Diceros bicornis minor: one gene and its partners. The protein of the gene in region 2 binds, or shares a complex with, the protein of the main gene of each other region. Links are inferred from orthologs where the notes say so. Each region holds a gene or a part of one and is shown on either strand. Other genes may lie near its edges. The genes, in order: PRIM2, POLA1, POLA2 and PRIM1.

Region 1 (7,439 bases), on a different chromosome or scaffold from region 2:
CAACCTTCCTCTTAAAACTACACTCCCACTCCAGATGTCCCCTAAGTCCAGACCTGTATGCATATTCAACTGTCCACTAGACATCTCCACAAGCACCTCAAATTCATGTCTAGAACTAAACTTAACATCTTCCTTCTAAGACTTGCCCCTCCTGTACATCACATCTCAAAATATCACCACCATCTGCCTAGCTGTCCTAACCAGAAACCTGGTGTCATTCATAGCTCTTCTCTCTCTTCTCCCTGCAATCAGTCACTAAAATCTTTTGATTCTACCATCTTAATATCTCTTCAATCAGTCCTCTTCTCTCCATTTAATTCACTATCCTCATTTCCAGGGTCCTAACTGGTTTTCCTCCTACCAAGCATGACCCTGTCAATCTGCTGTTGGCAGTCATTTTCCCAAAATAAAAATCTGATCACATCCATCAAGATGCAGTTCCAGCACTACCTCTTCTGGGAAGCCTTCCCAAACCTCCCCAGTCTGGGCTGGGTAATTATATGTGCTCTTGGAGTTCCTGGAGCACACATCTCAGAAAAGCAGTCATCATCCTGTATTGCACAGGGTACATGTGGCAGTGTCTGGAGACATCTACCAGGTAGAAGCCAGAGATGCTACGGAGCATCCTACAATGCACAGGACCTGCACCAAGGAACTATCAGGCCCCCAATGTCGACAGTCCCAAGGTTGAGAAAACCTGCCATATTACAATCATCTGACTACATATCAATCACCCCTAGTAGAGTGCAGGAAGCTTCAGGCAGAGTCTATGCTACATTAGTCTTTTTTAAAGCCCTGTACCTAATACAAACCCTCTCTCACCACTGATACTCAGTACGTGAATATATACCTACTGAAAGAATTTTTTTTTTTCCTCTTTTACTTACTCTGTAGGAAAACTTGAGTTTTCGAATCTCAGACTCCAACTTACTCTGGTATGGCTCGGTCCCTTTCACATAGCTCACACCAAGATTTTCAACTGATTTTAGTACTAGAAAATATTTTAAAAACAGAAGAAAGGAAAAAATGTATAAATGCAAGATAATTTTTAAAAACTAAATCCAAGACAAATAAAATCTATGGATAGCAATTCCATAATTACTTGTTTATAAAAGATGACAAGTTGTAACAGTTTCATTTGCTGCAAGTACATTATATAAATTACATATGTTTATAAGAGGCTAATCTCCATCCATGTGCAGAAAACACCCACGTCCCACAGCATAATCTAATACCAGGGATTCTCAGCCAGAGGGAGGGAGTGGTGGGGGACAATCACTGCTGAAAGGAACCACCACTGTTGAGGAATGGAAAAGTGTGTCAGTATGGAAAAAAGATTAACCATCCCTTGTTTGCATCCCTCATGTGGAGCTGTCTGTTAGGCAGTCTACTTCATTTACTGAGCACAGAATCATCAGAAGCCCTTCCTTTCCTGATGAAGCAGAGAAGGCAAAGACACAAGAGTGAAGAAGCAAGGCCCTCCAATCATCTAAGTGAACTGTTCTGAATAGATGCTACATACTGTTCACTGGTTCCTAAAGCCCCTTGTCAATACTTCCTCAGATAAAGTCTTCCTCTATCAATATGAAAAGAGGCATTTTTAAATTCAAGAATGAAAAACTTCTAAAAGGAATAATAAAATAAACCCATGTCCCACAGGTGCTATTATTTCTGTTTCGGTTCATGCCAAGCTCATTCCTTTTTTCCACCAACACACAGAGGATTAGGAGGCCCGACTACAGTAGCCACATCCTTCTTACACCCCAATATTGTGCCATCAGCTTGGTACAAAATGCCCTTAATTATCCATACTTCTCCATCTACTCTGAACTTGTTACTGTTCCCACAAATGACATTCTTTCTCATGCCTCCAAGCCTTTGCACAGCTTGGAAAAACCTAGCACTTCTTCTCTGTTGAGAAATTTCTACTCATCCTTCAAGGTCCAGATCACATTCAACTTCTCTAACAAGCCTTACTTAATCAGACTAAGTCAGTCACTCCCACTTCAATGTCTCAATAGCACTACTATTTACCTCTACTAGAGCACTTAAAATACCAAATTCTGATTATAATTTTGGATGTCTGTCTCCGTGTACTGGAATGCAGTTTCAACAAAGGTGAGAATTACATTATTCATCTCAAAATCCCTGCCACTAGAATATAGTAGCACTCAATAAATATGCACCGTACAGTCAATAAATGAATGAACAGCAAACCTTCAATAAATATTTGTTGAATGAATTGCTGAACGAAGGAAATAAAGTACCCACACTCATTCCCACAAAGTACAAGTGAGGTTCTCAAGAATATATAAATTCTAATTCACATATCACTCACATTTAACTCTATCGATAGCCAAGTTTTCAAACTCTATCAAAGATATGTTTTCAGAAGGTGGCTGCAGGTAAAACTGAAGGCTGTGAGGGTAGGAAGCGTTCCTCTGGTCACCTGCCAACCTCAGCTTCCTCCGCTTTCCTCCAGAAAACTGCATCTTGTTACCTTGTAAGGAAGCATATAAAATGGTTAAAATGATGGAAGGCGGAGTTGAAAAAAAAACAACAAACAAAAAAATAACTCCACATGCACAGGGAAAAAAAACTGAAGTTGAAGGGCATGCACAAAATGTTAACAGTGGTTATCCCTGGGTGTTTGTTGTCTCTCTGTTATTTTCCAGATTCTCTACAATACACCTGTAACAATTTGGTCATGGGGGGCGGGGGGCGGGTGCTAGGGAAGACGTAAGTGGTGGTCCTAACTTTCAGCACATGCAAGTCAGGTGATGTCGCCTGCTCACTATAGGTCTGTGTCCCACCGTCCTTAGATGTCTGCGGTCTCGAGAGTTCGGATGAGGTTTGACACGAGCTGCAATCCTGAACTCGGAGGGAAGCGCGGCAGGTTCGGGCGAGATAAGAGACTTAATGGGCCGGGTCCAGTTACTCACTTCCTATCCGATAACCCTGGGAAACTGAACAACTGTCTTTCGAACCCAGTCTTTCGGAACTCCTTTTAGGGAGCATCCACAAGTTCTCAAACTCCCACCCCGATCCTCCCCCACTCTCCTCCGGCGAAGCTCTCTCTCCTCCCCTCGGCGGCACCTGCACCTCTGCCCTAAACAACCAACCCACACCCCAGACCCTCACCCCCGCCAGGGCAACCCTGCTCCCACCGCCCGCAACGTGCTCTCCCTGGTCTCTCGACTTGCAAGCCTCAACACCAGGATTACTGTCCGCCCTAAATCCGCGGGAGTTTCTCTTACCCGCAAACACACCAAACGCGAAAACACGCAACCGCTGACAGCCGCTCGCCCGAGTGGCGGGAGATTTCTTATGGAACGGAAGCGGAAGTGGCTGGCCCGCAAGTCCCGCCCCCTGGCTGTCCCGCCCCCCGCCCCGCGCGGGCCCTGCGCATGCTCAGTAGGCTCTTCTGGGAGCCGAGAGTGTGCCGTCTCTTTTGCCAGCTTCAAGTTTTTTAAATATGGGTGTCTTTGATTCCTAATTTGAAGCTGCGCGTCCTGTATTTGGAGTCGGTAGCTTTTACCGTTGAAACTGGGGTGCTAGAATGCTAGCGGCAAAAATTCCACACGCCAAGAGTGAAGCAACATAATTTGGTTTGGGGCCGCTGGCCAAGATTCCCTAAACTGAAAATGGGGCGCTTTCACCCGCAGGGCTGGCACTCATCACTTTCGATCTGGGGGAGGAATAGAGGAAGAATAGGCATTTACTGAGGTCGTTTTTTGCACCCGGCTCAGTATTAGGGGCTATGTTTTTTCTTGTTTAATCTTTCAGCGACCCTATAAGATAGGTCATATTACTCCGATTTTACAGATGAGAAAACAGAAGCTAATGCCCATCTATGTACAATACATATTTTGTTTTTTCTATCGGACAGCAAACCCCATGAGGACAGACTACGTTCAGTCCACTCCCCTCTCCCCGCCACAACCCTCGCGCATAGGAAGCGCCCAGCAAACTATCTGGAATGAACTAGAATGAATGAATGCGCACATGCAGAAATCGCTCCGGGGTCTACAGAAATTAGAAGAGATCAGGCTCAGAGGGAAGAAGAAGCAGGGGTCGAAGAAGTGGAGAGCGCTGGGGAGAGAGTGGAGCTCGGACTGCAGACTCGGAAGCGGCGGGTCAGAGCCTCACCAGGTGTCCAACGAGTCTGTAGGGTTTTCAAGAGCTGGAGTAAACTTCACTGTGGCCTCGAGGAGGCGTGTCTCACTTACAAAAGTGTTCGAGGAAGGCTCTGGTAAAAGTAGTCATTGGAGGTGAAGAGCGCTTTGAAATGTTCGTTTTTAGAAATGCAGAGTATGTTGAAACAATATCAAGCTTCAAAGCACCTACCCAGCATGGACCAAACTGTCGCTGGCACTAACTTTGCACCAGGAAGTGTTCTAAGTGATTTCCATGTCAATTCATTTTATTCTCGTAAGCATATGAGGTAGGTTCTATTATTTTACCCATTTTACAGATAAGGAAACCGTAGAATAGAGAAGCTAAGTGACTTCAAAGATCACATAGGAAGTGACAGAGCCAGGTTTGAAGTCAGGGAGACTGTCTCCAAGCGCCACAGTGCTAACCACCACACTGTACTAATTCCATAATATGACAGCAGTGCCTCACCTGAATTCCCTCCTCTATCAGACACGTAATTAGCATCACCTGAAAAAACCTGGATCCCAGACCATAAAAACATTTACATGAATTTTTATCTGATCTCTGGATAGGGAAGGAATTTAGAGATAATAAATAACAAAGAAAAAATCTAAAGATTTGACTACAAAAATATAAAATTGTGTATCGAAAAAAATTACAAAGTTTTCTGCAGTCATCAAACTGGGGGAAAGTTTCACCATAAATATCGTATCAAAAAGGCTAATACTGTCAGGATGTAAAGAACTTATATAAATTAATTAGAACAAAATCCTAAAACACAAATTGAAAAATGGGAAAAGAACAGCAACAGATAACTCATAGACAAAATAACTAACGATATAAAGTATGGGAAAAAAATGTTTATCATTGGCAGCAAAGAAATTTTCCCCTACAAAATTGGTAACGATTTTACAATGAAAATACTCAATGTTGGGCAAAGTACAGTGTGATGGGCTCACATAGGAATTGATTGTGGTACAGTTTGGGCCACTGCCTCACGGTGAAGAGTATTTTCTGTATCCGGAAGCAATTGCAATATAGATCTACATATCACAGCATTACTAATGCACGATAATGTTATACATTTCAGTAGCCATATTTGGTAAATCACTGCAAGCTCTTTCATGTATTTATTCCATCAACAAAAATGGACTGACACAATGCTCAGCCCTGGCGACCAAGATGCATATAAATTACAGACCCCGACCTCACAATCAGGGGGAGGAAAATACATATAAACATATAACTTTTACTTCTACTAGACCATAAGCATCTGAAAAACAGGGACCACTGTGTCATTCATCTTTGTAACCTCAGTGTCTGGCACTCCGAGGCCCCTCAACAAATATTTATTTTATTGAATTGATGTAAAATGTGAGAGATGTATGAAAAAAGTGATGGATTCAGCTTGACGTTCAACAGATGGTTTGAATCAAATATGACTCCAACCTATAATACTTCAAGTCCTCATCTGAAAACTTCATACACATTCCTTCCAGAATGACTTGGCTCCCCAGTTTAGCTTGTAATAAAGCACAGAGTACCTTCCCTGACGGAGTTTCCATGACTCATCACTGCTCAGTTCAGCACCTGCCCTGGGCATTACCAGCTACAAACAGACTGTCCCACAGGGTACTCACCCCTCGAAGACTCCACAGCTCCAGAAGTTCTGTCCTGTAGTGTGTCACACTTCCAGCTGAGATTTTAGTTGCCATGCTTGGTAAATCAAAGTGAGTGTTCATTCTTCCCCTGTGCAGGCTGTGTCACCTAAAAACCAAAGGCGTGGTATGTTTCTCTATCCAGCGAGGACACTATAAACTCTAGGTCCTGCCAGCTCTGCTCGCCATGGAAAGCAGAAAGATAGGAGGCATTTCCTGCGGGATAGCTGACACATAAAAGCCAACGCACAGTTAGCCAACCGCTGGTCCCTCTGCCCTTTCCACTTCACTGCCCACCTCTGGGGCATGGCTAGGGAAGAAACCTCAAGGAGCACCTCGTTCTTTCCCCCTTTGCTTCAGATTGCTTTTATTAGTCTAGCATCAAGGAACAAGGGAACTAGAGAAAAAAACATATTCTTAAAGGGAAGTAGAGGGAGGGAGGGTTACCCTTCCATATGTCCACATTACGTGATTTGTTCCAGAAATACTAATTGAACACCTACTAAGTGCCAGGCATTGTTTTCTGCGCTGGGGATACAACAGTAATGAAACAGCCAAAATTCCCTGCCCTCATAAACCTTATATCCTAGTGGGAAAGAGAGACAATAAACAAGAGAAGTATCCATATTACTATGTTAAATAATAACTGCTAAGCAGAAAAAATAGAGCAGAGAGGGAGGATATAAATTTTCTTGGAGGAGGCATTGAAATTTTAGAAAAGGTTGCCAGGAAAGGCTGGCTAAGAGTGTGACCATGAAGCAGAGACCAGAAGAAAATTAGGGATTTAGTTGTGTGTATCTTTAGGAGAATAGAATTTCAGGCAGATGGAAGGCTTATCACAATTCCATAGTATTTAAGAAAATGTGATATTGATACAGGAATAGACAAAGCAATCAATGGAACGAATAGAGAACCCAGAAATGGACCCACACCTATGAAGAAACCTGGTATATGACGGATCCACTGTACAAATCAGCGGAGAAAAGATGGACAATTCTGAATGGTACTGGGACAATTGGCTATCAATATCGGGGGAAATGTATTTCCTACCTCTCACTATACACAAAAATCAATTCCAGATGATTTACATGTGAAAGGGGAAACTTTAAGAATTTAGAACAAATATATAGATGGTCTTTATATAGCAAAGAATTTCTTAAATAAGACATTAAGGGAAAGCACTAGCAGTTCTGGAGATGGATCATGGTGATTGTTTCATGACAACGTGGATATACTTAATGCTGCTGAATTGTATACTTAAAAATGGTTAAAATGGTATGTTTTCTGTTATGTATATTTTGCCACAATTTTTCTTAAAAAGCACAAGCCTAGAAGGGAAAGACTGATCATTTCAACAACATTAAAATTAAGAACTTAAGCTTAAAAGTCACATAAAGACATATATTTTTAACGAGCCACAAATTGGGAAAAGAAACTTGTCAGACGTGATTAACACAGGATTAGTATCAGAATATAATCAATAGGAAAAAGATAAAAACACAATAGAAAAGAGGGCAAAAAAAAAAAAACCTGAACAAGTATTTCACAACAGAGGAAACATAAATGACCAATAAATGTACAAAAATAGTTCAACTATATTAGTAATTGGGGAAATGCGAATTA
Region 2 (7,366 bases):
AAACCGTGAGAAGGCCTACATGAAGATTCAGAGATTACTGAACATGACCACTGAGAGGGAAAAGCTGACCTCAGTGTATTCCCTTCAAGAGTCTCTTGACTCCTTTAGTAGGTTACCCTGACAAAATCTACAGGTCTTCAAACAGACTTACTCCACAGGCAACAATGTACCACTCTACAGGGTTTGGGATACAATTACAAATACCACAGAGTTAGCTGTTCTCAAGGGGCTCACAGTCAAGTAAAGCAAAAGGACCTGAGGCTCCCACCATCACATAAAGATGGTGCCATATAAGAGGTAAAAACACAGTACTGAGGAAAAATTGAAAAAAGAACCATTAATTTTGCCTGGGAAATCAGGGAAGGCTTCACAAGGGAGGTTTCCAACACAGAGCCAGAAAGAAGAATAGAATTTCACATTTCATCACTTTTTACAGAGTAAAAAGTGGCACAAGAAGAGGAAAAGGCATGAGCCAAATTACTGAGACGAAAATGCAAGGTGTATTCAGAGAGAAAGTCAGTGTGGGAGGTAAGTTCGACATGAGAGCATAGAGTGAGCAGGAGAACAAGAGATTAGGGAGAAGCAGCACTACCCCACTCTGCCACTTAACTGGGTGACATGACACCACTGGTTAACCTCTCTGAGCTGCAGTGGCCAGCTGTCTTGCTGTTTTTTTAAGCGGCCCAGCATCTGAACCTGTTTGTGAAATTCTCCCCTTATAAGTCTTGATGGGACACAAAACACACGCCCCACTACAGAAGCTGAAAGGCAGATGCTCTTTCCCAGACACCCTTGCAGCTACGGCATGGGCATATAAAAAAATACGCTCTACCAATCAGGAACACCTGCTCAGAATTTCAATCAGAAGCTAGTGTCATAAGGAAAGGGGGTGGGCTGAAGGAAGATTCTAGAAGCAGCAACAACTGCAGGAGGATTGAGTGCCTGGGGCAACAGCGCCAACAATGTCCCAAGGAACAAGCTATAATATCAAGTACTTGGCAGTGGATGGCAACAACCTCCTCACCGGACCAGTTTTGTGACACGATTTTAATCACTGTTCCTGGCTGAGCAGCCCCCAGACTGGCTCTCGAGTCCTCCTGGAATTTCTGTGAACAATACAATATCATTCTAACAAATTCCTTTTGTTTAAATCAGATAGAGTTGGTTCCTGCAGCTGACACCTAAGGACTCTGACCAATGCAGAGCCTCAGGGTCCTCATCTGTGAAATGGGGATAATCATGTATGCTTCATAAAGTCGTTAAGGATTAAATGAAGATGCTTGGCTTACTTTGTACTCGGCAATACAGGAGAAGCTCCTTTAATGTTTGTGTATGTGTATAGATGCAGAAAAGTCACATACACATACACACACACCCCACACACAGCACACCTAGCAGTACCATGGTCTAGCCTCTAGAAAGCAAAAAATAAAGCAAAGCAGTTTTCTCAGGGAAGCCTCAATATAGCACTGCATATAATTAGATGTTTACCACTCAACTCCATGAAGACAAAAACTATGTCCTGCTTACCTACCACTGTAACACCAGAGCCTGGCAGAATGCCTATGCCAAGTAGATACATAATAAATATTTGCTGAATGAACAAATAAATGAATCACTGTACCTGCCTTTTTTAGATCATTAAACTCTCTAATCCCTTTTCATATATAATAACAGCTAGTTACAGACCTTTCAACTTTTCACTGCCATTGTCAAGGTACCCCACCGTCTAATACTTAAGGGGAAAAAAAAGGCCTCGATTTTCCTTTTTGGAATATGTCTCCAATGCTTCATGTGGGTAAGTTAGCAAAAAAGAATAAGCGTGAAAAAAATCCAGTTACAAAAGCTTAAATATTTGTTTCAAAATTACCATCTGGCATACTCCCATCGTTCCCAAAAGCAGAAGACACTAGCCTGCAACAGTCTTTCAGGTAACAATCTTTCAGTCTGCTCTAAAGGAAAAATTCCAGTCACAAGTCCCCAGCGACTACTTAATCAACACCATGACTTAAGAGAGGTCTCAAGATTGCAGAGTATGCTCCAAAGAGTGATTTCTTGATGTTCACAGATGATGTACAGTTTTTAGGGTGAAGAAAGGGCTTAGTGGCAAATCACTGATGGAGGGCTGCAAAGACTGTTCACGTACTCACATCCTATATCCCATTTGTAATCCAGCCTAGTCGACTCTCCAAAATAAATTGTCTTAAAAAATGAAAGGCTAGCAGAACAAATTGAAATCTGTGCTTCACAACTAGGTGCATGCAAAGGAAGCTGATTAGGAAGGAAGTTCTCATTAATGGTGATATATTTGAGTGACAGGAGATATGCCGCTTGAGCTAAGAAAGTGAAGCATCTGATTTTAAGTTAGAAGTTCACTGAAGTTAAGTCACACTTTAGTTGAACACTGTTCAAAAATCAGAAATCAGACAAAGCCATTTGCATTTTTGCATTCTATTTTTGGAAATAAAAGATTACCACTGAAAACAGAGTGATATACAAGGCATTCGAAATGCTGCTGAACTGAGGCATTTTTCTCTAGAAGCTTCACCAGAGATGACTAGATTGTGAACACTTTTTTTTAATGCAGCACTTGATGAACTTTCCATAGATTTTGAAAGAAAAATTGTTAACGCATAAAGCAGAAACACATTACCTAAAAAGACAAAATGCATTTTGATCTTCTAGTGACAGCACTTAGGGCTCTCTTTCCTGCTTAGTTACAATGTATAAGAATTTTCCTGGGAGTTTCTATAAAGGAGAGGGCGCACATCCGTTCTGTCCTAGCCCTTAAGCGGACACTTGGGGCGGGAGTAGTGACATACTTTCGGCCAAGACTGTGTCCCACCGGGGCCAGTCTCGATAAAGCTGTGCCCAGCACATGGGACTCACCAAAAGAAATAAAAAGAAAAGCAGGCTAGTGCGGAGACCTGCAGTGATAGAGGTGAGTCAGCCTCCCAAACAAAAAGCCCCGCAGGGGGGTTGCTCGGGTTTGCCAGGAGCAAAGACCCCTGCAAGGAAGCCTCGTCCAACGCAGATGGGTCCCAGCCCAGGACAACCGAGGTCCGCGCCCAATAGCCCCGCGGGGCGACCCGGGCGCACGCCTCCTTAACACAAAATAAAACAGAGACCCCACCACCCGCAGTCATTCCACGGTCCCCGCACTCCCAGCCCGGGACCCCACGCGCGGGGTGTCCCTCCCCGCTCGCCCCCAGCTCACAGTCCTCGCCGTGTACGGGCGCCATGGTCCCGGAGACTCTCGATTCCGCGCCAACCAGCCCGAAACTGGCGCGGGGGCCGAGACAGGCGCCAGCTCGAAAGCCAATCAGCGCCTCCGGCGGCTGCGGACTTCCGCCCGGAAGGCCACTGACATGCCGCGCAGCGCCTCGCCCCGCCCCCAGCCTTCCCGCGGGCGCGCGTTTGGCGCCCTGTGATGACCCCTTAGGGAAAAGAAGGGGAGGCCGAAGAGAGCAAGAAAAAGAAGCGGTCGGGCGCTGGAGAGGAGCCGCCTGGAGACTCGCTGCGCAGGCGCGCCCATGCCGATGGGAAAAGATTTGGGCGCCTTGGAGTAGGGGCTCTCTGGTTCTGAGAGGTGATTTTATGGGAAAAGAGACGCGGGCGGGCAGTAGGGTGGGCGTGGTTAGACCGGTTTCCCGCGAGCCTGGGAAAGCGACTGCCTCCTGCTGCGCACTCTAGGTCTTGCCTGATACTTTGCTTCTCAGAGTGTGAATACAGTAGCTGTGTGATTTATTTCTATATATGCCAACACTTAAAGGTATATGCCCCATCTTAACCAAATGACCAAAAGTAGCAACACCAATAAGGGGCAATCATATGCCTCCTCATGTGATGCACTTGGGAAAAGCAAGAACATCACCTATATAGTCTTCTTGCAAAAAATGTTTAACCTGAACTGAATCTAACCATGAAGAAACAATCAGATGTATTCAAAGCGTAGGACAATCTATAAAACATCTGGCCTGGATTCCTCCAAAATGTCAATGTTATGAAAGACAAAAAGGGCATTAGATTCTTGTGTATGGTATAATGCATGCAATGTATGCATCTCATTTTATCTTTTTCCAAATAGGTGTAACATTTTTATGAAGTAATACCTGTCACACGGTTGTAATATATTTTCCTATGTTTTTTGCCCACATACTTGTTTATGCCTTCCTCATGTGACAATTTTGTAATATCATTTTCTCTAAAGAAATAATTCAGAGATATATCCTTTATATCTCAGGATATAAAGATAATTATCAATTATCAGTTGATCAATAATTTATTGATCAGCCTCTAGCATGGTTGATCAATGTTTGTTTCTTAATTTCTGATTGTTTAGAAAATTTTCTTTCAGCTTCATAACTCATTATTTAATATGGTAAAATACAATGCATATGTTGTGATACATAACATAGTAATTCACACTTAGTTACACTCACTGTTTAAAGTACTAGTAGATATTTATGTCTACACTTCCCTTTAAAAAAATTGTTGGAACTTCTATAGTTGTATTATCAAGTTTATTCCTAATATGAGAGAAGCATTTTGGCTAGGCATCAATAAGAACCAAATCCTTCCCTTACAATTTCACACATCTGATCATTTTCTATATGCCAGCTTAGACCTCTAAGCATTTCAAATCTTGTTTCTCTTTCACTACCCATATACTTCAGGGGCCAGGACCTGTAGGACACTTTCATATCATGATACGACTTCTGGCCTTGCACATTCAGGTCACAACTCCAAGTCAGCACAGTAGGGTAGGAATATTCCTGGAAGCTATTTCTACACCAAGAGGTCTATCAATAACTTAGGTGTATACGAACATGCCTTCAACCCACATAAATAGATGCCACTACGTCAAAACTCACTGCAATACCAACTCAACTTTCCCATAGTAGAATCCCAAGATCACTGTGCCCACTCCACCACCACCACCAGGTAGGAAGGGAAGTGTATCAGAGGGACAAATGGTGGTTCTCAAGAGCGGATTGTTACATATTTAGGAATTTTATAATATGCTTGTTAAACTATTGGTAGCTTGAAATCAGCCATGGAGGAAGTATTTACACCATGGAAATTAGCAAATGCAGCAAATCAGAAATCAGGCCTTTTTTTTTTTTTTTGAAAGAGACAGTTTGCCAACAAACCACCAAGTAGAAAGTAGTCATAACAGATTGCAGTTAAAATATCTTACCTTTGCAAATTTTCACAAAAACATAAGACCATTGCTAGAGCATCTCCCAGGGCCTTGGAAGTGGCCCATTTGCAAACGGGAGGCTCTGAAGCTTAAGTTTCATTAACTTCACTGTAACTCTACCTCTGTTATCTAATCATGCAAAAAAATCACAATTTGTCTTAAACTTGCTCTCTCCTATCCAACGCAGGACCAGTTTTGCACTGGTCTTGCAAACTGAAGATTTGTTTTTTTCACTTATTATTACTACAAACAAAGAAAAATAAATTGAGGCTAACTTGAGATACTATTTTCCACCATTTTCTATCTTTTTATTTATATCTCTCTATATAAACTCTATCCATTACTGGTAAGCTTGTAGTGTTGAGGAACCACTCATTTTTGCCAGTGGCAGTGTAAATTGGTACAACCTTTTGGAAAATAATATTGTAATATGTAACAAGTACCATAAGCATGCTTTTATCTTTCAAGCTGTTATTTCCACAGGCAAAAGTTAATAGGAAATAACTCAATAGAAACGAAAAAAGTGCAAAGACATTAATGGCTGCCATTTTCCATTAGCAAAAAGTTGGGACCTAAATGTCTATGTCAGAGAAGAGGTTTAATGAATGACTTCAAAAAGATAAAATAATTGGGAAAACTCAAAACATGGAAAGTGTTTATGATATTTCATAAAGTGAAAACAGCAGAGGGCAAAGTGATATGAACACTTAATTGCAACTATGTATCAAATCACTATATACATACAAGCAATATGTAAAATTGAGTATATATTCTCCAGATGATAGCATTATAGATTCTTTTTGCTTACAATTTGTTCTCCTTAATTATGTTGGGAGGCATTACAACATCAGGTAGAGACAAATTTAGGGTTTGATTCTTAGACTACTACTTTTATATGACCTTTGGCTGGTTACTGAAACCTCAGTTTCTTCCTCTATAAAACTGAGGTGCTTATACTTACCTAAGGAGCGATTGTGAAATTTAATTGAAATAATACATATATGCCACTAAGTGCCGTTAAGATGCCAACACCTAAAAGGCATTCAACGAATAGCTATTATTATTATTGTATTTTTAGTTACTACATGAGGGTGTTGGTATCAATGTAACTGAAGGGATATGATAGTCAAACGTAAACAAAATCAAGTATATCAACTGGCAGAAACTTTTGGCAGTCAATACATTTGGTTATGATCAATTTCTTGGACGATGTCAGTGCTTTACCTATTTTACTGATCTTCCTAATAACCATACAAGGTAGATATGTCAAGAAATTGCTATTTGCTTACCACTACATCCATTGTCCCCTTTCTTCTTAGTAATGGAATGTGGATTTTTAGCTGTGCACAGTTACAGATGGAGGAAAAGACTATATTTCTCAGCCTTCTTTGCAACAAGGTTTAGCTAGATGACTAATTTCTGGCCCACAAGATGTAAGCAGTAGTGTTGTGGGAGACTTGGAGGAAGGCTGCTTAATGAAATCTGATACATCTGAAAGGAGACTCTTTTTTGCCCTTTTGCCTTTTCTCTCTTTCTTCCTGTAACACAGATGTGATGGCTGAAGCTCCAGCAGCCATCTTGGACTATGAGATGACTGTGAAGATGAAAGCCACACACTGAGATGGTGGAACAGAACGATAAAAGCCTTGGTCCCTAACATCCATGGAGCCACCATACCAGCCCAAGCTATTTGTCTACTCCCCAAACAACTTTTTTTGTTTTTATAAACAGGACCTTCTTTTTCTAAAAGGATTGACAACCAGCCAACTGGATTCTATTCTGGCATTCCTGCCAGGTATATTTCTCATTGCAATCAATAAATTAGGACTCTGGTTCCAATATCAGTGTGCGTTTCTTAGCATGAGAAACTGGTTATCTTTGGGTATATTGACAAAATCAGCTTGTGGAAATGCAAAGATTCTGAGCCCAACTGGGTAATGTTGTTTATATGCAGCTGTGGAGAGAGGATTTTCTGCTAGCTGAAAATGGGCAAGCAATGAGAGAGGCTGCATATGCTCTCAACGTCCCACAAGGATTCCAGGAGATAGGAGTAGATGTGCAACTCCCCTGGGCAGCTGGTGGTGCCCAAGCTCAAATCATTTCCTCATGCACCTGAGTTGCAAAGCCCCTCTCTTGACTTATTTGCCTATAAAGAGGTGTAGT
Region 3 (7,516 bases), on a different chromosome or scaffold from region 2:
ACTGTCATTACCCTGGTTGGTACTCTGCGCAAGCTGAGAAATTACTAGAGGGTCTGAACAGAACAGGAACATGATCTGACTTGCATTTCGCAGGATCACTCTGGCTGCTGTGTTAAGCATAGACTGAAGGAGACAAGGGCAGAATCAGGGGGACCAATTAACAGAATCATGGCAAAATCCAGGTGAGAGATGATGGTGGCTTGGCTCAATGTGGAGGCAGTGAGAAGTGATTGGATTCTGGATAGGATATATCCTGAAGGTAAAGCCAGGGGGATTTGCTGATTGGTGTGAGGTGTGAGGAAAGAAAAGAGTCAAGGAGGATGCTGCCAGTTTTTGCCTGAGCACCTGGAAGGGTGGAGTTGCTATTAACTGAGTGGGGAAGACAGCAGGAGGAACTACTCTGAGGAGAGAGAGGAGACACGAGGAGCTTAGTTTTAGACACAGAGAGTTCGTGATGCCCATTAGACATCCAATTGGAGACATCAAGTAGCCAGATGGACAGACAGCCGGTGGTTCAGGAAAGAGGTCTGGGCTAAGATATAAATTTGGGAATCATCAGCAAACACATGGGATGTAAAGCCATGAGACCAGGTGAGATCACCAAGGAAGTGAGTGTATCTTGGGGCTCAGGATGAGGATGAACCTGTAAAGCCTGAGAAGTGGTGACAACGAAGCTACGAAAACAAGGAGCTGTGTCCAAGAAGCTAAGAGAAAAACGTGTTTTAAGGAAGAGGACATGATGAATGGTGTCAAATGCTGCTGATCAGTCAAGATGAGGACTGAAAATTCACCACTGGCTTTAGCCAGGTGAAGGTCATTGGCGACCTTGAGAAGGGCAGTTTCAATCAAGTGGTGAGGAGGAAAAAGTCCACTGAAATGGGTTTAAGGAGGAAAAATTTGAAGACAGCAAGTATGGGCAACCCTTTTGAGGTCTGCTGTAATTAAGAAGGAGAGAACTGGAGTGGGAAGTGGGGTCCACGGAATACTTTAAAGGCAGGAGTAAGAACCACATTTCTATGCTGTTATGGAAAAAATCTTATAGAGAGAAAAACAGTAAATACATAAGAGGTGAGAATTACTGGAGTGATATCCTTACGAAGGTGAGAAGGAATGGGATTTAGGACTCAAGTAGAACGTTTGGCTTTTGCAAAGAATTTATTCATTGTCATAGGAAGAAAGGCGAGGTATATGGCACAGACACAGGTAGGTGGGAAGAAGTAATGGTAGTAGCTTATGGAAGTTTTCTAATGGCTTCTATTTTCTCGGTGAAACAGGAAGTAAGTCGATCAGCTGAGACTAGGACAGAAGGATGTTAAAGGGGCAGAAGGTAGAAGAGAGTCATCTAGAAGACTCAGAGTGAATAGACCAAAGAAATATGGTACAACTGTCAGGCAATATTAAAGTCCCATTGAGGCCGGTGATTATGAATTCAAAGTCTAGAATTCCAGTGCCAGTGTAAGTCATTTGTGAGATGGAAGCAACAGGCATCTTGGACTTACAAATTTGGTTCACGCAACTAATTTCTCTTGTTTTGATTTCAGGCTCACTAAAGAAATTTCTGATTATGATTGGGTTTCTCCTTTAAGTGTCCTTTTAGGAAGAGAGTGCACTGGGCATAAGAACTTGAAGTATTTTGATCTCTCATGAGAAATGAACTGTTTGCATTCTGGTTTTATACATTAAAAAAGAAGCTCAAACTGTTGATGAATGGTTAAGGCAGGTGCACATTCATCCTGATTCTAAAACTGAGAACTTCCATATCTCCCAGGACTTTGATTCCAACAACTCCTTACACCACCCCAGAGCCTGACCAATACAATGGATCAATATAATGGAGCACTAGACTCAGGGACAGGAGACCTGGGTTCGGAGACCAGCTCAGCCTATTAACTCTCCTTGTCTGTTTCTCCATCTGTAAACAGCTGACAAGCTCCCTAAAGTTCCTTCCAAAGCTAAAAGTCAATTTTAGGAACCCACCTCAAGGGACTCATATTTGCACAGACCACCAACAGCTGTGATGAGAATTGATGGCTCGGAAGTTTAGGGGTAGGCTGGAAGGGGTGGAGCCAGGAATAAAAAGCTACATTTCAAAACCCCAACATCTTGCTTGCTCTGTTCTGAGGCTTAAACAATTTCCAAACCCGCAGATGCCACCAGGCCTAGTCTGAACCTGGCACGTCCCAGTTCCACCTTTCTGGAACTGTGCTGATTTAAAATCGTGCTTCATAGTCTTATATTTGAGTTGGAATCCAAGCAGTACCCCGTGAGCATTCAAAGTCCCCACATCCCAAATGCCAAGACTCAGCTTAATTCTTCGTCTTACAATCACTGAGAAGTCCGACCTAGGGGAGGTGAAACTTGGAAGCACTCCCCTTTGGGTTCTAGGCGACTGGGAACACGGGGCGAGAGCATGGACCTGGGCTGGGGGCCGCGGCGGGGGCGAGGGACTCACATTTCTCGATCAGAGCCTCCTCGCAGTCTAGGCCGAAGATCTGCAATTCCTCCAGCAGGTGCTCTGCGGACACGGCCATGGTGACCCAGCTGGGGGCCGGGCCCAGCCAGCTCCGACCTGAGTCCAAGAAGCTCACGGGCGTGGAGATCGATGAGCAGGACGAGGTCCCTCTGATCCTTTCACCCTTCGGGGGACCAAGACAGAAGGTGACCAAATGGCCCAAGACCGCAGGCGGTCAGAAGGCCCAGCCGTCAGTCACAGAGAAACACTTTTTTTTTTTAAATGTGAGGGAAGCCCCCAAACGCCCAAAGGACGTGAGCAGAAATCTCGAGAAGTCGCTCCCCTGGGGAGAACGTCCTGACTCCTAAAAGCTACCGCCGAGCATCCCAATGACGGGAACAGAACGGAGCAGCCAAGAAAAACCCGCCAAATGGTTTGCGCGGCGCGCGCATGCGCGAGAGCCGGATTCAACCCCACCCATTCCCCTCTGCTTCCTTCTCCGGGTTTCCGACTCCGCGCGCGCACGCGCACAAACGCCAACGCGCGCGCGCCCGCGCCTGGTGGTCGGTCCGCCTTACGGCGGCTGCGCAGTTGTCTCTAGCAGGGCGCAGACGTGGGGCTCGGGCGCGCGGCGTCCCTGGTGCCCCGTACCGAAACCGCGTCTCCCCAGCAGCCGCGGGACTTCTTTTCCGGGCACCGCCTGCTTGGCGAAGCTCCGTGACGCACGTTCGTCACCCTTCTGTCCTGTACCTTGGTGCGCAGGCGCTGTCGTGTACATGCCCGCGAATGTCCCATTCTGTGCTCAACGCGGGGGAGGAAGAGCGTGTCGTCCTTTCTGTCTCCCTCGTCATCTCTGCGCTCCGTGTGCGCTCGAGTCATCTTGAAAGGGTGATTTGGTTAACGGGAATCTGGTTGCCGTGTTTATCAAGGTTATTACCTTGGTCCCAGCCACAGTGCTAGGTGTGTTTTCTGGATCTGGGGCATTTGGGTGGAAAAGGGGTGGAAAGGTGACAAATGACTTCGTTTTGGACGTGTTAGGCTGGTGTGTGCCTTTGGGATTTCCAGGTAGAGGATCCCAGTGGGCGGCTAGAACCTTAGGAGTGAAGAAGGGTCACTAAGAGGGAGAGACTTGAGAGGTAAAATGAGAAGAGGGCCTTCCCCCTGAAATATTTCCTAATTCTTTGAGCCAGAATCTTCCATTGGCTCGTGTTAGATCAAATAACCTTAAGCATCATACTCTGCTAATGCAATGGTAGACTGGTAGTCTTTCTAGAAAACAAACTGGCAATATATATCAGGAGCTTAAAAATGTTCATCTTCCTTGACTCAGCATTTCTTGTTCTAAGAAAACTAGCCATTAAAATCCAGACAAAGTTTTATGAACAAAAATGTTCTTTGTAGTCTTATTTCCAATAAAAAAAAAATACAATAAAAAAAATTGGAAACTAAACATCCAAAGGTAGAGGTTGATTAAGGAAAGTATGGGTATTTACCAAAGCAGTGATTCTCAAGACTGGGCCCCATGGCGTGGTGGTTAAGTTCCACTCGCTCCCCTTCAGCAGCCCAGGTGCCTGGGTTCTGATCCCAGGTGCAGACCTACACAACATGCGGCCATGCTGTGGTGGCGACCCACATGAAAAATAGGGGGAGATTGGCACAGATGTTAGCTCAGGGCTAATCTTCCTCAAGCAAAAAAAGAGGGAAATTGGCTACAGGTGGTAGCTCAGGGCGACTCTTCCTCATAAAAAAAAAAAAAAAGACTGCACCAAAGAGGCCAGACATTTCTAGGAGATAACCTCAGGGCATGCAATGAGGGACAAGATGCAAGGCAGAATGGGAGCACCCTGTCTTGGCTGCGATCCGGCAGGGTGGAACAGGGTGTAGTTTGCTTATTAACCGCAGTCAGGGGCGGGGTAGAGAGACAAAACAACCTTAGTCTCCCCTAAGGCTTCTTCCTGGTGGGTACCCAGGGTGGAGAGCGGGCGTGGTTCTCCTGGGTACAGGCAATAAAGGGTGTATTAGTTTTCTATTGCTATGCAATAATTTATCACAAACTTAGTGGCTTAAAACAACACCCATTTGTTAGCCCACAGTTCTGTAGGTCAGAAACCTGGGCACAACATGCCTGGGTTCTCCACTCAGCAAGGCTGAAATCAAGGTGTTGGCCAAACTGCATTCTTTTCTAGAGGTTTCTTCCACCAACCAGAGAAACTGCTTTTAAAGGGCTCATGTTATTAGGCCAGGCCCACCCAGATAATGTCTCTTTCTTAAGGTCAACAGATTTGGGACTGTAATTACATCTGCAAAATTCCTTTACAGCAGTGCCTAGATTAGTGCGAAGAGGGCATTGTCCCAACACGAAAAGACCTTGCTGCAATAGAGCACAATAAAGAAAAATAAAAAGCAAAAGAGGAAGTTATTATTGAAGCAATGGCATAATCTATTTTGAAATATGTAACGCCTTCAATATTGGGTATAGTTTCATTACATGATAATTACTAAAAATAGTCGTATAGAGGAGGGAGGGTTAAACAAGTCATGTGTTCTCAGTGTCAAATAGGGTAGGCATGACACCAACCTTCCTCCCTCTTTCAATTCTTTTCTGAATTATGAGTTGTCTATTACTATCTGGAAATGGGTAACAAGGAGTGATAATTAAGGACTGGTTCTGGTCTCTACTAGAAAGCCTTCAAGAGCATGTCAAGACCCTCTCTAGAGTGTGGGATTGTTTCTCATATATTGTACTCTAATAACAGGAAAGATCTCATTCCACCTCCTGTCACAAATGCTTAGTGACCATTTGAATTTCTTCTTGTACAACTCATGTGTTTACATCTTTTTCCTTTCCTTTCTCTTACCAAGTTGCAGAAGCTCTTTCTACATAGACCAGGGGTTGCAAACTATGGCCCTTAGGCCATATTCCACCAGCCACCTGTTTCTGTAAGGCCTGCAAGTTAAGAATAGTTTTTACATTTTTAAACGGTTGAAAAAAACCAAAAGAAGAATAATGTTTCATGATGTGTGGATATGACATGAAATCCAAGTATAGTTTTTTCCATATAGATCCTGTTTTTGTTCAATTTTGTCACAATATTTTTTGTTGCCCTTGTGAATGGAATATTTTTCCCATACTGTTTTCTATTTAGTCATTGCCAGTTCAAAGAAAAGCTATTGGGTTTTGTACATATTTCTTGTAACCAGTGATTTTATCAAAATCCTCTTATTGATTTTAATGTTTTAGGAGAGTCTCAGAGTTTCCAGATTATATTATTTACAAAGAAAGATATCTTTTTCCCCTTGTTTTCAAAGGGATGATACTAGTCATTTTATATTCCTGTCTTAGCGCATTGATCCAAACCTTGGAATCAGTGCTTAATCACAGTGGGTGTCCTCGCCTTCTTCCTGTTTCTGACGGCAGTGGCTTCAGTGTGGCCTCATTTTGTTTCATGGTTGCTACTGGATTGTGTTAAGAATGCATAATCAAGGTTTAGTTGCTTTCTTCTTGTTCTCTTTTCCTTAGAGTTTATTAGGAATGGCTGCTGAATTGTACCCAACATCACTAAAGAAGGATTTCCTCTTTTAACTCATGGGTGTAATAAAATGTGTCACTTTTATAATGATAAAATAAACCTTCACTTTAATTTGAAAGATCCTGTATTAAAAACATCTGTGATTCAAAGAACACTATCAAGAAAGTGAAAAGATAATCCATAGAATAGGAGAAAGTATTTGCAAATCATGTATCTGATAAGGGTCTAGTAGCCAGAATATATAAAGAACTCTTACAACTCAACAACAGAAAGACAAACAGCCCAGTTTAGAAATGGGCAAAGGACTTGAATAAACATTTTCCCGAAAAAGATATACAAATAGCCAATAAGCACATGAAAACATGCTTAACCTCATTAGTCATTAGGAAAATGCAAATCATATCACTTCGTACCTACTAGGATGGCTGTAATAAAAAAGATGAACAATAACAAATGTTGTTGAGGATGTGGAGATATTGGAACCCTCAAACATGCTGATGGGAATGTAAAGTGGTGCAGCCACTGTGGAAAACAGTCTGGTGGTTCTTCAAACAGTTAAACATAGAATTACCGTATAATCCAGCAATTCCACTCCTAGGTATGTACCCAAGAGAATTGAAAGCATATGTATTCAAAAATACTTCTATGAGAATGTTCATAGAGGCGCTATTTATAACAGCCAAAGAGTGGAAACAACCCAAATGTCCATCAACTGATAAACGGATAAATAAAATATAGTGTATCCATACAATGGGATATTATTCAGGCATAAAAGGGAATAAAGTTACTGATACATGCTACAACATGGCTGAACCTTGAAAACACTATGTTAAGTGAAAGAAGGCAGACACAAAAGGCCACATATATGATTCCATTTATTTGAAATGTCCAGAATAGGCAAATCCATAGAGACAGAGAATAGATTTGTGGTTGCCAGGGGCTAGGGGAGGGAAGAATGGGGAGTGACGGCTAATGGGTATGGGGTTTCTTTTTGGGGTGATGAAAATGTTCTAGAATTTGACAGTGGTGACAGTTGCACAACAGTGTGAATATACAACGTTGTGAATATGCTAAAAACCACTGAACTGTACACTTCAAAAGGGTGAATTATCTCAATAAAGCTTTTATTTTAAAAAAAGATCATGTAGCTGTTTTGTATGCAATATAGTCCAATATAGATGTTCATTATTTTTCGTTAATGAGATATTATATAATTAATATAATTCCTATTAAACCGTGAATAACCTTATTATCTTGCGGGCCTGGGGTGGGGAGGGTTTGTCATGATTTTTTTGAGTGACTTGTCATCTCAAAGGAATGGTTTGGTGGGGGAATAAAATACAAGCAATGTCACGTGTGGTGACATCCTGTTTTCCCAAAACCCCAGGCTACCTATGGGGGAGGGAGGGGCAGCTCTGGGTCCAGGTGGCCACTCCCCGGGGAGGCTTCCAGACCAGCGCCTGCTCTGGGACAGCTTTCTGACCTTTGCCATGTCATGTCATGATGGCACAATCCCTGAGTTATTGGTGGTGTT
Region 4 (8,116 bases), on a different chromosome or scaffold from region 2:
AAGCATAAAGGTAGAATGAAGACATTTTCCAGATACAGAAGTCAAGGATTGTCTTCCAGTCACCTTTCCTCAGGAAGCTCCTGGAGGATGTGCTCCACCAAAACAAGGGAGTAAACCAAAAAGAGAAGATAGGATCTGGACAACAGGGGATCCAACATAGGAGAGAGGTGAAAGGAAACCAGAGTGATTACAAGATGATATTTATCCATCAGGCTTAGAGAGCAATCAATATAGGTTAGAGGTCAGAAGGCTGCAGGAGAAATTTCTTTAGGATGAAATTGACAAACTACCTGATAGGTCTGAATACATTGGGAGTTTTAAACAATTTGCAAAGAGTTTGGAGTTGAATTAGTGATCTAACCCTAATTTTTTTTTTTTTTTGTGAGGAGGACCAGCCCTGAGCTAACATCTGTCACCAATCCTCCTCTTTTTTGCTGAGGAAGACTGGCCCTGGGCTAACATCCCTGCCCATCTTCCTCCACTTTATATGGGAAGCTGCCACAGCATGGCTCAACAAGCAGTGCATCAGTGCATGCCCGGGATCCGAACTGGCAAATCCTGGGTCGCTGCAGCAGAGTGCGTGCACTTAACCGCTTGCACCACTGGGCCGGCCCCTGACCCTAATTTTTAATCTAACAAACATATAGGAGCACGTGGGAACGAGAAGGTTGTATGTGTGGTGAGGGTAGCAAGTGAGGTGAAAGAAAGCTAAATCCTTATCTGCCAGAGTGGAAAGTCAACAGATAATGCTTGAAATGGAAAAACGGAAGAAATATAAACATGTTATTTAGAAACAAGGAGGTGAATACTTTATTCAGCTAAAAGAAAGTGGTTGCCTCTGGGGAGCAGAAAATAGGAGGAGTAGTAGGAGACATCTGTTTTTAAAAAAAAAAAAAAAAGGTCTACAGATGCCTGTCTCGGCCCAATAAAAAAATACTTTTCCTCCTTCAGTGTTAGGGAGATGGAATAGAGTGACAGACACCCTGACCCTTCTATAGAGACTTCAGTTTTAATCTCCACCTGTAAAGAAGAGTAAACTTCTTCAAAATATTTTTCCTGCCTGCCTTTTCTTATCGCTTCTCCTCTTCCTCTAGGATTTAGAGTTAGAAAACCTGGGTTCAGGTCCCAGCTGTATCATTTAGAAATTGTGTGACCTAGGGCAAATTATTTAAGTTCTCCAGGCTTGTTTTCTCCTTTGTAAAAAGAATAGTAAGGATTGATATGAAAAACAAGATATACAACGTATGAAAAAGCCCCATACAAAAGCTATTATCCCATGTGTATATTTCCCCCCGACATGTGTATTTTTAAGGAAAGGAAGAAGGACAACTTTGGTATGTTCCTTCATTCAACAAATATTTACAGTGTACTCTCCCAGGCACTATTCTAGGCACTCAGAATATATCAGTGGCAGCGGGTAGGAGGGGTGGCAGGTTGCAGCGGGCCTCAGTGAGTAAGGACTTGAAGGAGGTGAGGGAATGAACCAAGAAGATATCTGGGGAAATGGATTCTAGGCAATGGAAACTGCTTGAGCAAGGGCCAGTGTGGCAGAGGTGGAATGAGTGAGGGAGAGAGAGGGGCTTTTACTCTGAGTGAAAAGGGGAGCCACTTCGGAGAATGGTCTTGAGCAGAGGAAATTACAGAATCTGACCTGTTTTAAAAGGATCACTCTGGCTGCTGTGTTGAGAATAGACTCTCAAGTTTACAGGAGCAAATTGTTAGGAAGTTTTTAGAGTAATTCAGATGAGAGATGATAGTAGTAGCACTGGTAGGATTCTAGATATTATTATGGTAGAGCGAAAGAGATTTTCTAATGGAACAGATACAGGAGTGTGAGAGAAAGAGAGGAATCAAGTGTAACTCCAATGCTGGGAGAGAATGTAATTCTCTTTTAATTCCCTCCCTTAAACCATGCTGACTTCCTCATTTAGTCTTTTGCCAGATACTCAATTTTTTTGTCCTAGTGAGAATACAACCAATTCACTTCCAAATGATTTCCAGTCAGTAATGTAGATTATCACAGAACAAAAAATATTACAATCCACTTGCAAAAACAGTTAAATAAAGCGTAGCTCTTCAACTAGAATAAACTCTAAAAATTTTATCTCAAAACGCTGGGGGCACCAATCCATTCTTGGTTTAAAAAACAAAACAAGATATATAAAAAACCGATTTCTTACTCTGTGGGAATATACTGCGCCTATATCAATCTTGTATGGATTCATTTTCTGCATCTCCTTTTCCAGATCACTCTGGTTGTTGAAGGACTGGTAGCGAATGTAAATATCATCTTTCAATGTGAATGAAAATTCACGGTGTTGAAAGTAATTCTTTACCACTGCAAAATAAATGTATATTTTAAAGTTAATTTGGTACTTTATTCAGCTCAGAGCATTATAACATTAACCAATGAGAAGATATTTTTAATGAGCTCCCTGTGCCCAGCACTGCGCTAAACATGCAAAAAAAAAAAAAAAGACAAGACCTAGTCCCTAATTTGAAGGGGCTTACCATCCCGCATCTGATAGGGAGAAGTAAAAATGAGGAAAAAGATGCAGAAATATTTTAAATATGTAATGCCACCTCTCTCTCCTCGGTGGGCACTAATAAATTCAACTGCGAAGAGTTAAGTACCTCTCCTCTCCCGGGAGATGCCCCAGTCCCTGATGCAGATCATCACGCTCACGCCCCACTGACCCCCCGGCTCAGGCCCGCGGCAGGTAAATGGGGCGCCGAACGTGAGTCCGACCACGTAGTGGGAGGAGCAGCGGCTGTGCTTTTCACTGTGTGGCCGTAAGCTGGTCATCACAGCCTCTCTCGGCCTATTCACACCTCAGAGGTGGTAGGGAGGGCTCGAGATAACTCCCGAAGGTACCCGGCACACTGCCTGGCGCACAGCAGGCACTTCATATTGTCATTCCCAGGTACCGGTCCGGAACCTCCTCCCCCTCTCCTCCCGACCCTCTACCCACCCCGCTCCCCGCCTCCATCACCTCCGCCATAGTTGAGCCAGCGATAGTACTGGGCGTAGGGAAAGAGCCTCCGGTAATAAAGCTTAAGCAGCTCGGGCAGCTCGGCGGGGTCAAACGTCTCCATGGAGCGCGGAACTCAACCCAGGCAAGATTACAGCAAGAATTGGCGGGAACCGTATAGCCTGAGCCTCCGCCACTGCGCAGGCGCGTCGTGGCCGCGACCCGCGTCTGCAGAGGCAGCTGGGAATTGTAGTTCCCACTTGGAGGTTGGCCCGGGCGCTGGAGGCGGTGCCGCGGGTCTCCGCCCACCTGCTCAGATAGTGCTAGGTCCACTGCTCAGGTGGGCAGAAGGAGGCTTCAGCCACTGCAAGAAGAAGATATTCTGCGGAAAGGTGAGTCCTTGAGCGTATTGACTTAGGTTATTAAGGTGAAGTAAAAAAGACGTTTTCTGCTAACTTTATGAATGTTTTATTTTTACTTTATGAATGTTTTATTTTTTATTTTATTTTTTTGAGGAAGCTTGGCCCTGTGCTAACATCTGTTGCCAATCTTCCCTTTTTTTTTTTTTTTAATTTTTTCCCCCCAAGGCCCCAGTATGTAGTTGTGTATCATAGTTGTAGAGTTGTAGCTCTTCTACATGGGACGCTGCCGGAGCGAGCATGGCTTGATGAGCAGTGAGTAGGTCCACACCCGGGATCCGAACCTGTGAACCCAAGGCCGAGGAAGCCCAGTGCGTGAACTTAACCGCTGCGCTACTGGGCTGGCCCCTATGGATGTTTTAGAAATAACACATTTAAAATATGTAAACCAGTATCTTTTCAAGAGGGTTTGGAAATTAGTTTTTCATAAAATTATTAGGTCTCATATGTGGAAATAAACGAAGACCAAACAAATGAGAAAAGCAAAGGCTATTTGTTCAGGGCTTGCTGTATAGCAAGGGAGTCAGCCACTGTCACCTGCGTTTTGGCAGAGACTCAAGGGCAAGCAGAGGAGTGGGAAAGCTTTATAGCGGAAACAAGAGAAGGTTTCAGGTGTGCCCTGATTCAAGGCTGTTTACGTGGGGAAGCTGCAGGGGGGCTAACTAGGAGCCGGGCATCCTATGTGGTTGGTTAGAAAGCATATTTGGCTTTCTCTAGTTGGTTCTAAGTTGCAAGTGGGGACAAAAATTAGGGAAGCTGTCAGTTGTTAATCCAGTTCTGGCCATTTTGGGCCTATTGTTACAGGGGTTATTGTTTGGCTTCATGGACTATCACTAGAGACAGCAGTCTGACTTCCTACAAGTCTGACTTACAGCAGGCTGGCTTCCTGGGCTGTTTATTATAGCTAAGGGGGTTGGTTTTGAAACTGAGAACGAAGAAGTTAAAATCTTAGAGCAAAACCTTTGAGATAAGCTTTGCTAACTGCAGCTGTGCATACTCAGCATAATCAACTGTTGTTTAACCGGGTCTTTCTGTCCCTCCTTAGTATATGAGTCAGCTGTCTTTTCCAGAAATTTAAGGTCCAGACATCAAGATTCAGCCTCACAAGACCAAACACAGGCTGAAGATGAAAACTAACCAGAAAAGTCCGGTCAGTCAAGGGAAAAGAAATTCAGTCTTCAAGGCCAAATGCAGGCTGGTGGGAAGGTGCCAATCAGCAGGGCCGCATGCTCCCCCCTCCCCCCCCCCCGCCCCAAAACCCCAGCACATGCTCCTCCTCCCCCTAAAACTGTGATAAAAACCTCTACCTTTTTCCCTTCAAGGAGGTGGATCTGAGTTCTAACTCCCATCTCCTTGTCTGGCTGCCTTTCCATAGTAAACTTCTTTCCTTGACGCAAGCCTGGTGTTCCAGTTGTTGGCCCTCTTGTGCAGCAGGTGAACAAACCTGTTTGTGTTCAGTCACAGTTTCCCGGGTGGGCTTCTGCAGATTGTGGGTCAGAGTTCTGTTTTCATATATGGTCTGGCCATTGTTTGTATATTCAGTCTCTCAAATAGAACACCCAGGAATACTAAAATCTGAATTGGAGGAAGCTTGTAGAATCATGGCGAGCTTTGCAAGTATGAAAGGAGTGTGTTTCCTATTGATATGCAGGTCTGCCGATCATCTCATTGCAAATGGGGACTGGGGTGGGCACTCTGATAATCACATCAGTATCATATGTGCCACTTGAAAATGATCATTTTCATGAGTTTTATTTTTACAATAATAGTAAGAGAGCAAGGAGGGAATAGAGTCTCTAGTAAGTTATTATTAGCCTAATCTTGAAAATGATCATGGTCCCTCAGCCTATGGGCAAAGTGGTCAAAAATGGGCTTTGGACAGATCATATTTATTTGAATATTCCTAGATCTGGCTTCCTGCACAAATCTTAGTTGATTTTCCCAATCCCTATGCATCCGGTTTTGGGCAGGGTGAATTTCATTGCTAGGAAGGTCTTCACTCTAATAATGGTAACAAGAGTTCCCTGTAGAGTGCTGTTTTCTGGAACCACATCCCCCTGAACTTTTTAATGGAGGTTTCTCAGCTTCCTCATTGCTGTCTTTAAGAACTGACTTTTTTGGGCTATTCAGGAGTCCCCTATTTAAATTTCAGGACCACTAAGGAGGGCAACACCTTACAGAGCTAAGACATAAGGAAAGAAAGCAAAGGAAATTGTATTTATTGAGTTCCTAATGTATGCTCGATTTATTTAACGTTAGTTTCTTATCAGGAAAAAGGGAATAATAATAGCTAATATTTATATAGCATTAGCTATGCTGTCAAGTACCATTTTAAGAATTTATTCCTCATCAAGAGCTCTTTGTGGTAGGTACTAATATTATCCCTATTTTACAGGTGAGGAAATATGCAGGGAATTTAAGTAATTGGTCCAAGGTCACACAGCTAGTACATGGGAGAGCCAGACAGCCTGGCTCGAGTCTGTGCATTTAACCCCTATGCTACATGCTATGTCTGTACAGTGGGTTGTTGTGAGGGTTAAATGAGATAGAGTAAGAGGTGCCTGGCACAGTTCATAGCCCAGGAACACTCATTCTGGGGAAGCTATAATTCTGTAAAAGTGCTCTAGTTAGCGGCTTTTATCCCAGGTGCCATTGGGAGGCAGTATTGCCTTTCAGTTGGTTTTCCCTCGTGATTTCATCCACAGAGGTGCAAAACCCCTGTGTCCTTCAAGCCTTACACTATCTACCAGCCTCTTTACATTTAGTATTTATGTCTACTGTCATTCTCTTTGGATAATCTTATCAGTCAGCTTAGGTCTCTCTCCCCAAGATCTTTGCAGGCTTGGACACCTACCTCGTGGACTTCCCTTCCCTTCCTACTGTTATTCTGGGTGTTTTTAGCATGTAAAAGGATGATATATTTGGTGAAGATGTGGTTCATTTGGTAATTCTTTAACTCATTCATTTATTCCACAAATAGCTAGTGAACATTTGTGTTGGGCATTTAGCTAGGCTCTGGGGAGAAAAAATTAATGACAGGCATAAAAATTAATGATAAGATTGGTACAGGGAGACAAGCACAAAGTGTGAACGGCACGGCACTTGCAGGAAACTGCCAATAGTTCCCTATGGACAGAGGTCAGACTTCAAGGTGATACCGGCTCAACAGACGGTTGACATGAGGGAAGCCGTTGTAGAAAAGAAACCCTATTGTAACTTTGAATGACCTCTGATTAGCTAACCCAGACATGCTCTGTAGATTTTACGGCCCCTACTGGTGCTATAAGTTGATAACTTTGTTCTTTTTTGTTCCTTAGGAATGTGATGACCCTCTGGGCAGAGTCTGTGCTGATAGCCATCATCAATGAAAACTGAAAGATCTGGTGTGGCGACTCCCAGTCTGTAACACCAGAGGGTCAACATTCCTAAGCCCCTCCCCTATAACCCACTGGCCTATATAACTGCTGTAAGATTTTGTGCCCCCTTAAGATGGTTCTTTTGGAGATTAGTTGGCCATCTTCCCCTTTGCTAGCAAGCGGTAATAAAAAGTCCTTTCTCTCCTGCCTCCTTGCCTCTTGACTATTGGCATGTCTTGCAGCAGGCAGACAATTCCCCCATGGGTGGTAACAAAGGGAAGGCATAGTGAGAGATGGGGCTAAGAGGCAAGCCATGGCCAGAGCATTGCATGCCAAGCTAAAGAGTATGCACATAAAAATTATTTATCTTCCATTTTTATTCGGCTTTGGTTAAAATACTGATCATATCAGTATTTGATGAGAAGCCTTGGGAGTAAATAATCTTATTGAAACAAGTAAGTTGCAAATTTGAAGTACTCCTGTGCTAGTTATTTTCCTCCTCAATAAGATAAGAAAGAGAATATTAGAAAATATATATTTTTTGTTGACACAAGAGCAATAAATAAAGGGAGACTACCTAGGTGGGGCCAAGGTCATATTTAAGTTTAATTTAAATTGTGTAATTCTGTCTCCTGTTATCATAAACTACTGTAAAGTAATAAAGAGCACCCTCATATTTGTTTAATGCCAAAGTTTTAATTTAATCTCACAGGAATTTTTTTTTAACTACAAAGCAAATGATAACCACAAAGCAGATAAAACGTGTTATAGGACATTGTGTTTGTTCTTTAATTTATATAATGGATTTAATATGTGAAATTGAATTTTTTCACTTAAGCTGTAAGTTAACCCACCAGATTTTTGATAAGTAACCTACCAATATACATATTGTATACGTTCTCTTGTTGGTCATAAAACTACATACTCTTTGGATCTAGCTTTCTCCTTGTAGACTGCTTGAAATAAAAGATGGCAGATCAAGTCAAATCACAACATCAAACCTTGTTCCTCCACAGGAATTTGGATTTGTCTGAAGACAATGGAGAGCCTTGGAAAGCTTTTAAGCAGGGAGAAACATAAAGTTGTGTTTTAGAAATAAACTTTGGAGCCCTGTGGAGGACAAATAGGAGGGGAGAGAGCAACCAGAGGCAGAGCAATCCCAGGAAACTTGCTGAAATCCAGGTGACAAATACTGGTAGCCTGAACTAAGGCCGTCAAGTGGAGATGGAGGGGTTTGGGTGGCCATCACTGACTTAAGGAGGTAGAGTTAATATTGATTGGATATGAGGGATGAGGAAGTGGTCTAGGATGATGTCCCAGGTATCAAGCTTGGGCAACTGGATGGAAGGGGCTTATCGGGCACCTAGTG

What was found.
Region 1: the proteins of POLA1 (region 2) and PRIM2 are in contact, whole or in part, in a cryo-EM structure (PDB 8G9F), measured with the Xenopus laevis proteins. The link is inferred for Diceros bicornis minor from reciprocal best matches to the Homo sapiens genes POLA1 and PRIM2. Residues at the interface, in NP_001082055.1 of Xenopus laevis: Leu842, Lys853, Ile894, Pro895, Glu896, Leu971, His974, Arg977, Glu978, Leu981, His982, Glu985, Gln988, Lys989, Asn991, Glu993, Asn1007, Asn1009, Arg1101, Asp1102, Glu1106, Gln1109, Glu1221, Asp1224, Gly1225, Asp1227, Ala1229, Leu1230, Met1233, Trp1234; in XP_018121015.1 of Xenopus laevis: Pro34, Pro35, Thr36, Glu37, Asn38, Ile39, Ser40, Leu41, Ile42, Phe44, Glu45, Ile49, Ile107, Phe110, Ile111, Leu114, Cys117, Gln118, Ser119, Glu120, Asp121, Arg123, Ala240, Arg241, Leu243, Val245, Val246, Gln247, Arg251, Leu252.
Region 3: the proteins of POLA1 (region 2) and POLA2 are in contact, whole or in part, in a cryo-EM structure (PDB 8G99), measured with the Xenopus laevis proteins. The link is inferred for Diceros bicornis minor from reciprocal best matches to the Homo sapiens genes POLA1 and POLA2. Residues at the interface, in NP_001082055.1 of Xenopus laevis: Gln548, Lys551, His553, Gln554, Asn555, Phe642, Glu645, Val646, Gln649, Asn652, Leu673, Gly675, Arg676, Phe679, Lys1137, Asp1141, Pro1143, Asp1144, Ile1321, Gln1322, His1324, Asn1325, Lys1326, Leu1328, Leu1329, Arg1332, Ile1335, Lys1336, Tyr1338, Tyr1339; in XP_018112289.1 of Xenopus laevis: Met280, Tyr281, Lys282, Phe283, Met284, Phe285, Gln286, Lys287, Leu288, Met289, Ile291, Arg292, Val295, Ser296, Ile299, Glu314, Thr316, Leu320, Pro321, Gln323, Glu324, Thr325, Val326, Gln331, Gly333, Cys334, Asp335, Ser336, Asn337, Gly338.
Region 4: the proteins of POLA1 (region 2) and PRIM1 are in contact, whole or in part, in a cryo-EM structure (PDB 7OPL), measured with the Homo sapiens proteins. The link is inferred for Diceros bicornis minor from reciprocal best matches to the Homo sapiens genes POLA1 and PRIM1. Residues at the interface, in NP_058633.2 of Homo sapiens: Tyr439, Ala440, Pro447, Glu448, Lys449, Ser450, Phe876, Thr877, Thr878, Gln880, Leu906; in NP_000937.1 of Homo sapiens: Asn92, Thr93, Val94, Lys95, Leu96, Gly97, Ala98.

What each region holds. Positions count from the first base shown.
Region 1 is NC_080753.1:10,098,038-10,105,476, forward strand, and holds the start of PRIM2 (DNA primase large subunit), read right to left. Parts: upstream 3,313-7,439; 5' UTR 3,258-3,312; intron 2,501-3,257; 5' UTR 2,493-2,500; coding exon 2,339-2,492; intron 992-2,338; coding exon 888-991; intron 1-887. UniProt on the Homo sapiens protein: Regulatory subunit of the DNA primase complex and component of the DNA polymerase alpha complex (also known as the alpha DNA polymerase-primase complex) which play an essential role in the initiation of DNA synthesis.
Region 2 is NC_080781.1:20,729,428-20,736,793, reverse strand, and holds the start of POLA1 (DNA polymerase alpha catalytic subunit), read right to left. Parts: upstream 3,292-7,366; 5' UTR 3,243-3,291; coding exon 3,218-3,242; intron 1-3,217. UniProt on the Homo sapiens protein: Catalytic subunit of the DNA polymerase alpha complex (also known as the alpha DNA polymerase-primase complex) which plays an essential role in the initiation of DNA synthesis.
Region 3 is NC_080770.1:7,903,953-7,911,468, forward strand, and holds the start of POLA2 (DNA polymerase alpha subunit B), read right to left. Parts: upstream 3,183-7,516; 5' UTR 3,104-3,182; intron 3,087-3,103; exon of another isoform or gene 2,637-3,086; 5' UTR 2,532-2,636; coding exon 2,453-2,531; intron 1-2,452. UniProt on the Homo sapiens protein: Accessory subunit of the DNA polymerase alpha complex (also known as the alpha DNA polymerase-primase complex) which plays an essential role in the initiation of DNA synthesis.
Region 4 is NC_080756.1:12,129,546-12,137,661, reverse strand, and holds the start of PRIM1 (DNA primase small subunit), read right to left. Parts: upstream 3,143-8,116; 5' UTR 3,097-3,142; coding exon 2,994-3,096; intron 2,339-2,993; coding exon 2,181-2,338; intron 1-2,180. UniProt on the Homo sapiens protein: Catalytic subunit of the DNA primase complex and component of the DNA polymerase alpha complex (also known as the alpha DNA polymerase-primase complex - primosome/replisome) which play an essential role in the initiation of DNA synthesis.